Linked DNA regions of Kluyveromyces lactis. The protein of the gene in region 2 interacts with the protein of the main gene of each other region in a pairwise test. Links are inferred from orthologs where the notes say so. Each region holds a gene or a part of one and is shown on either strand. Other genes may lie near its edges.

Region 1 (3,167 bases), on a different chromosome or scaffold from region 2:
AGTATTCAAGTGTATATTTCCATCCACAACTTTCATGGCAGCAACAGAGGCATCCTGAACGAACCTTTCAACTATATTTCCTGAAGCCGCATCCAAAAGTGAAATTACAGGGATGCCAGTGGGAGTCTCCCCTAAGACCACGAATGACGAGTCTGATTTGTCAATACATTTGATATCACCTAGGTTTTCGATTTGCCAATCCACGTGAAACGCTTCATCATTAAATACAGCCCCTGTGGATTTAAGCAGAAGTACCCACAACGTAAATATAAGGGTTAACATGATTTGATTCCGTTATGGCAAGATCGAAGGTCCAGTGTATAAACTTTAACTAATTCTTTACTTGGACACTAGTTTAGGCTTATTTTATTCGAAGGCTATTGTTGGTTTCTTTGAAATAATAATAATAATCGTAGTAAAAAATGGTTACTACAGTGGGAAATATGTCGTAGCTTTCGTAACACAAACAAGGAAACAAAAAAAAGGCAGTATGAGAGTCTCGATATAGCTATATATCGATTAAATTTGTACAACGATTCTTATATACAGTTTGAAATCATGAATTGAGTCAGTTATTTTTTCTGTTAGTGTAATACAAACGTGTATGATATTCAATTATGGCTTTCTCTCATCTTCGCTATTCTCTATGGAAGTAACATGCTCTGAATCTTTGAGTCTTTTCTGGTGTTCATAATAGTCTTCATTAAAAATGACCGAAGGAAAGAACTTAATGCTTAATGCGGTGTCTAATGCTAAATTTGTCCAAGGATTGTAAATAGCCCATATTTCAGTTAGTGGGATATCATTTGGTGATTCTGTATCATGATGCAAGAGAACTTTTCTAATTGCATATATGTCCTGCACTTCTTGATTTGTTCTGATAGCCCGTGCCGGAGCATGAGCCATCAATGTATGTATTCTCTGTCTATTGCGCTTGTTTTCTTCTTCTAATTTTACCAATTGAGAATTTATCTTATCGTTCTTCTTTTGACGTCTGAGATTGTTGAGAAAATCAGTCATATTCAGGTAGTATTCTAGTTTGTCTAAGAATTCAGAGAATGACTGTGGTTTATAATCCAACGGTCCGAACCATTTAGTTACCAAATTCTCGGCCTGCGCTTGTGCTCTCGCTACGGCGATACTTTGCTTCACCTCTGGTAAGTTAAGGGAAATTGACTGTCCTGATAATTCATCCTTGGCCTTGAATTTCGTTGAATCAACTCCCTCGTGATAGTATTTGACGATGTCATTGAAAAACTGCTTTTCACGAACTGATTTTGCTTCTTCTACCCAGGGATCGTATTTGAGAAGGGTCAATCTTGAAACCTCTAACATAGACTGCGAGAGTATTAGAGTCCCCGCTAATAAATAAGTAACACGTCTAATAGTTCTAAATCTCTCTGAATACCAAAAACCGGTACGTGTACCAACTCGAATATTGAAAGAATGTGTTCCCCCGAATTGAACAGGAATATGTCTAGTCATGTACATATCACCGTGTGTGGTACTGAATCTATTCAAACTAGGAAAATCGGCAATATCTCGTTTCACCCATTTCTTTCCCAATTTTCTAAACCTTTGCATTAGAAATAACCCAAGTCCTGTTTGAATTGCAACTAATGACCACAATCCTGTTGTGTTATCCGAACTAGGCACTAATGGTCCCCATAGTTTCAATCCCAGACTTGGTCTTGTATAAAACTTGGGGTCATTGCCAACAGGCTCAGAATTATCTGACTGAGTTCCGGATGTATATATAGCCATCTACTTCGCAATTCTGTCCTTGCTGCTTGTTCACTTTGTTTGAACCTTTAGTAATCCGATACGTGCTCTTCGAGTTGTCTTATGTTGGCCCTCGTCCCGGTTGGAAAATGTGATTGGCAACGTAGTTGGTGATACTTTTTCGGAGTTAAGTCACGTGATTAAATTTTATTGCTTGAAATAAAGATGAATTCAAACCCATTTAGAGACGATATGCAACACATGACGCCGAGAAGGAAGAATAGCATGAAGGGTTTTCATAAAGTATATGCAATACCGGATAAATCTATTATTCAAAGGTATACTACATATGTATAAAATATCGATACCAACTTTTGTTGATGTTCGAGGTTAGAACTTTTACAAATAAGAGGTAGTAAAATGGGTTACGAGATATGGGTTTATTTACAATTCATCTTGCTCTAGTTCAGAATCTTCTTCAGCCACTTCTTCAACTTCCTTCGCCTTTTGTGCTTCTTCTTCTTCTTGTTTCTTCTTCTCCACTTCAACTAAGTATTCTTCGTAAAGGGCAAGGCCATCAACACCGTGAGAACCGTTTTCCTTGATGAAGGCTAGGAAAGCTTCGGCAGTTCTTGGTCCCTCGAAAAGAATTGGTTCAGTTTCTTCACCGGCTGGCCACAAGTATAAGACTGGGAAACCTGGGATTTCGACAGATTGAACGTCATTGGCAGTAGCATCGATCTTGGCAATCAAGACCTTATCTTTCAATTCGTCATTTTCATGAGCAAATTCAGCCATGCTTTCATAAGTTGGTGCCAACTTCTTACAATGACCACACCATGGAGCGTAGTACTCAACTAAAACATCCTTCTTTGGATCACGGACAATTTCTTCATGGTTTTTACCAACAATCTTAAAGACAGAGTTTTCTTGGATTTCTGGAATTTCTTCACTTTTAACAATAGGTTCCGCCTTACCTTCCAAGAAATCTTCAACAAACTTGGTGATTTCTTCAGTGGCTAAAGTGATTGGTTTTTCCAAAGCCGCGAATTCTTCATCAGCCAATTGTGGCAAACCGTACTTCAAGTCCTTAATGGTGTCATGGATGGCAAACAATGGGAATTGCTGCTTTTGGTTCAAGTTCTCGGCGTGTCTACCGAATTTGGAAGCATCCAAACCAGCAAAGTTGACCTTACCTCTGAATTTCTTAGCCAAGTCAACAAAGTGAGATTCGTATTCTTCACGTTCTTCTGGGGAAGTGTAGAAGAAGTATGCCAAAGGCACCTTGACAGCCATATAAGCTTGGTAAGTTTCACCGTTAACATCACCAAAGTATGGGAATGCTTCAACAGCAATCCAAGTGGAAATAGTTTCGGCGTCAAAGTCTTCACCTTCGTACACAATTGGCTCAGATTCACCTGGCAAGTAAATGGACAACTTTCCAT
Region 2 (4,481 bases):
ACTTAGCAAGGAGTCTGTGGCCAAACCACAGCAGCCAACTGAAGCCGATGGGAATCATGAACCAGCAGTTGAAAAGAAGGTACCCAAAAAACAGTTTGAGATTGATTTCTTGGATCTGAATGATAACATTGAAGAAGAAATATTTGCAAATAAAAAGGGGTTCATTGATCTATCAGTGAAACAAAGAACAAATGATTCACATTTCTTACTACCGGACGACTATAAATTCACAACGGATAAAATCACAAGGCTCTTCATTAAGCCCGAGCAGAAGATGAGTTTCTTTTCACACAGGAGGATCAGTAAAGCCAGGTTACCTGGGTCCCTGAAATTTGATGATACCGAAATCAAAGAAGTGAGTAATATTCCGGAGATTGCAGACGAACGCTTTTGGGCTGAAAACTATCAACTGCATGAAAGGGAAGAAGAGCACAAGCAAGATGACACACAGATAGAAAGATCAACCAATCCATCGTTTGAAGAGGATAACGGCATTGACTTCAACCAAGCCTTCGAAGATGAAGATTTGGATATGGATACAAAAGAAGATTTCGTAAACACGCAAGGATTAGTTGCAAATAATAAAATGACCTACTCCAGAACCTCCAAAAAGGTAGATGTGAGAAAATTGAAGAATAATGTGTGGAAGTCAATATGGCAACGTTTACATGTACTGAAGACAGACGAACAAAATGGGGAAACTACTCGGAATGAGGAAACTACTCAGAATGATATCGAATCAGAAGCACATCTGACCGAAGAGAAGCAGGGAAAGCAGGATATATCAGCAGAAATATCAACAAAAGCAGAGGGCTATGACTTGAAATTCACCGATATCGCTCACGATATCGTGAACATGTACACTTCAAGTGCCAAAAAGGATCTCTCAACCAGTTTCTGCTTTATCTGCCTTCTTCACCTCGCTAATGAGTATGGATTTACGATTAACGACACTACAAACTACCAAGACTTGGACATTCGGTTCCCTGAAAAGATTGCAGACGCAATTATTGGCAAGGAGTAGCCGAACTATAGCCGACGTAATTATTTTGTTTGTATATAGAAGAGTATTGATCACGTGATGTTCGTCTAAAAAGACCTCGTTCCTTTTTATTTTTCTGGCACTTTCGAATCGGATTTCAGCTGTTACGTAGAGTTTCTCCCTAATGAAATGCAACGCCACCCGGACGAGCGTTCATCAGCTTCCAAGAATTTGTTGATAATGTTGAAATTTGAGTAAATTGAGCATTTGTCAAATTTAAAGGTTTTTATTTTCTTTAGAATGAGGATATATATGGCTATGATTATTCGGGTCATTTAGAAGGCAACGAAAGAGGCAAAAGGCTTTTAAGAATAGTGAACAAAGGAAGCAACGAAAAAGTTGTATATACCAGCTCAGGTACTTTGAAAAAATCACTTTTACGGTGTACTTATTAAGTGTTAAAGGCTAGATGACGCTTCCGGTGTTGATTGGTGTTTCTGGTTTGTGCGCCAAGAACGCTTCTCGAGTGTTGATTCGTCAAGCCCCTGTCTTGACAGGGCCAATTTTAAGGACTTTGCATAGAAAGCATTTTCTTACAGGCAGCGTGCTACAAAACAGATTATATTCGGACAAGAACCAAACAGGCAAGGATCATAATGGTGTTACAGGTTCTCAGCATTCGGAGGACTCGAAGAACACTGTAAATGGGGCAACAAGTGGTGCAGAAAATGTTCAGCAGCCCAAGCAACTAAACGGGATTAATTCGAGTGATATTGATCCGGCAAATGGACCTGTATCACACGCTGTTTTGGCTACTAAGGAACAGCAAGCTAATAAAGATTTGTCTAACCCAAGTGCGCAAGCGGAGTTCTATAAACTTCTCTTGAAATCGAACTATCCGCAATACGTTGTTTCGAGATTTGAAACTCCTGGTATTACTTCATCGCCTGAATGTATGGCTTTGTATATGGAAGCTTTACAAAGGATCGGTAGGCACGCTGATGCTGAGTCTGTGAGGCAGACTTTGTTGACGACTGCTCCAGCTGGAAGTATTCCTCCTGCCGTGGCTTCATCTGGTGCTTCTTCCGCTGCATCGGCTAACGGTGCTGCTGCCCAAGTTACTGGAGGTGTTTCATCTGGTTATTCTGGCATCTATAATCCGTACATGGGATCCAAAAAGGAACCTCTACATGTTGTTGTCACTGAATCCACATTCTCTATTGTTTCCAGATGGTTAAAATGGTTGATCGTATTTGGTGCAGTTACATACGGTTTGACTGAAGGTTTCAAATACATTACAGAACATTCAACCCTCTTCAAGACAAATGAAGTCGCCGATAAATCTGTGGATGTTGCAAAGACTAATGTAAGATTTGATGACGTGCGGGGTTGTGACGAAGCTAGAGCTGAATTGGAGGAAATTGTCGATTTCTTAAAAGATCCTACCAAATACGAATCCTTGGGTGGTAAGTTACCTAAAGGTGTTCTATTGACCGGACCTCCAGGTACTGGTAAGACTTTATTGGCAAGAGCCACCGCCGGTGAAGCTGGTGTTGACTTTTTCTTCATGTCAGGGTCAGAGTTTGACGAAGTTTATGTAGGTGTTGGTGCCAAGCGTATCAGAGAGTTGTTTGCACAGGCCCGCGCTCGTGCCCCTGCTATTATCTTTATCGATGAATTGGATGCTATTGGAGGTAAGCGTAATCCCAAAGATCAAGCTTACGCAAAACAAACTTTGAATCAATTGTTGGTTGAATTGGATGGGTTTTCCCAAACAAGCGGTATAATTATCATCGGTGCCACTAACTTCCCAGAATCATTGGATAAGGCTTTGACAAGACCAGGTAGATTCGATAAGGTCGTCAATGTTGACTTACCTGATGTTCGCGGGCGTGCTGACATTTTGAGACATCATATGAAGAAGGTTACTGTTGCTCCTGATGTGGACCCAACTATCATTGCAAGAGGAACCCCAGGTCTTTCTGGTGCTGAGTTGATGAATTTAGTTAACCAAGCCGCCGTATACGCTTGTCAGAAAAATGCTATTGCTGTCGATATGCAGCACTTTGAATGGGCAAAGGATAAAATCTTGATGGGTGCTGAAAGGAAAACTATGGTTCTCACTGAAGCTACTAAAAGAGCCACCGCTTATCATGAAGCCGGGCATGCATTGATGGCACTGTACACTGCCGGGGCAACGCCATTATACAAAGCAACTATCTTGCCAAGAGGCAGGGCATTAGGTATCACTTTCCAACTTCCTGAAATGGATAAGGTGGACATCACTAAGAAAGAATGTCTAGCTAGGTTAGATGTGTGCATGGGTGGTAAGATTGCAGAAGAACTGATTTATGGTAAGGAAAATACTACCAGTGGTTGTGGTTCGGATTTACAAAATGCTACCAACACTGCTAGAGCAATGGTTACTCAGTACGGTATGAGTGAACAAGTCGGACCAGTAAATTTGGCTGATAAGTGGGACTCATGGTCTGGAAAAATTCGTGACGTTGCTGATAACGAAGTACTTGAACTTTTGAAAGCTTCAGAAGATAGGACGAGAGCCTTATTAGCAGAAAGGGAAAAGGAATTGCATAGATTAGCTCAAGGATTAATGGAATACGAAACATTAGATAGTACCGAAATTCAGAAGGTATGCAAAGGAGAACCTATCAATAAAATGAAAATGGCCACTACTACGGTGGTTGAAGGACCAGACAGCGATGATCGTAAGGAAATCGGCGGTGATAAATCAAAAATTCCGGTACTGATTAAAGCATGATCAGACGCAGAACTAAAACGTCATTGGATACGGACTCCTAGCATTACACCATTGATTGAACATTTCACCGACCATCTTTCTGTATCTGCATTTGACCTGTTTGAAGAACCCCACTACAATGGTTATGTTGCAACTTGTACAGAATACCCAAATTGAGTGGTTAATTTTAAAAGTGTTATATGAAATTACAGATCATAGCATTTTCACATAATAAAGCATAAAAGCATTGACGTGTCTTGTAAATATAACATTGGCCGGCCTTCTTGAAGAAGCGGCAGTCACTACTTTACCCCTGTCGAAAGACTATAAATGAAGATAATAGTTCTCTTCGCAAGTATATATGCATATTTGTATAACAATTATTCGTATGAATGAATGAACTTTAGGAAGTTTTCATTGAGAACTCTACTTAACTTGTATACTACTACACTTTCAACTTTTTAGAATCCGGTTCCGTTGTAAGCTCAGCGGAGCTATCACGTTGTTGCTTTTGTCTGCGCATCCTATCTACCAGCAGCATTGGATTTTGGCAGTAATGCAATTTTGCGTCAATTTTAGTTGCCTCTTCTTTGGAAAGTGTTTCAACGTTCAAAATCATCGCCTGACACTCTCGTATTAGCGCTGTTAAAGTTTGCAATTTTAAATTAGATGGTAATTTGGTATCTGATGGTGTTTCTTCCGTTTTCAAGCCTTCCGTTTCCGAGTCCTTTTGCTCCTCAG

What was found.
Region 1: the proteins of YME1 (region 2) and MGR1 interact in binary tests that used the Saccharomyces cerevisiae proteins (3 or more experiments, as listed by UniProt). The link is inferred for Kluyveromyces lactis from reciprocal best matches to the Saccharomyces cerevisiae genes YME1 and MGR1.

Annotation. Positions count from the first base shown.
Region 1 is NC_006039.1:81,544-84,710, forward strand, and holds MGR1 (Mgr1p), read right to left. Parts: upstream 1,765-3,167; coding exon 616-1,764; downstream 1-615. Other genes in the region: EMC1 (Emc1p), read right to left, coding at 1-282; protein disulfide isomerase PDI1, read right to left, coding at 2,167-3,167. UniProt on the Saccharomyces cerevisiae protein: Component of the mitochondrial inner membrane i-AAA protease supercomplex required for mitochondrial inner membrane protein turnover. Together with MGR3, functions in an adapter complex that targets substrates to the i-AAA protease for degradation.
Region 2 is NC_006041.1:606,467-610,947, reverse strand, and holds YME1 (i-AAA protease YME1), read left to right. Parts: upstream 1-1,451; coding exon 1,452-3,761; downstream 3,762-4,481. Other genes in the region: condensin subunit BRN1, read left to right, coding at 1-1,024; TFIIH complex kinase subunit CCL1, read right to left, coding at 4,186-4,481. UniProt on the Saccharomyces cerevisiae protein: Catalytic subunit of the mitochondrial inner membrane i-AAA protease supercomplex required for mitochondrial inner membrane protein turnover. The protease is probably ATP-dependent. Important to maintain the integrity of the mitochondrial compartment.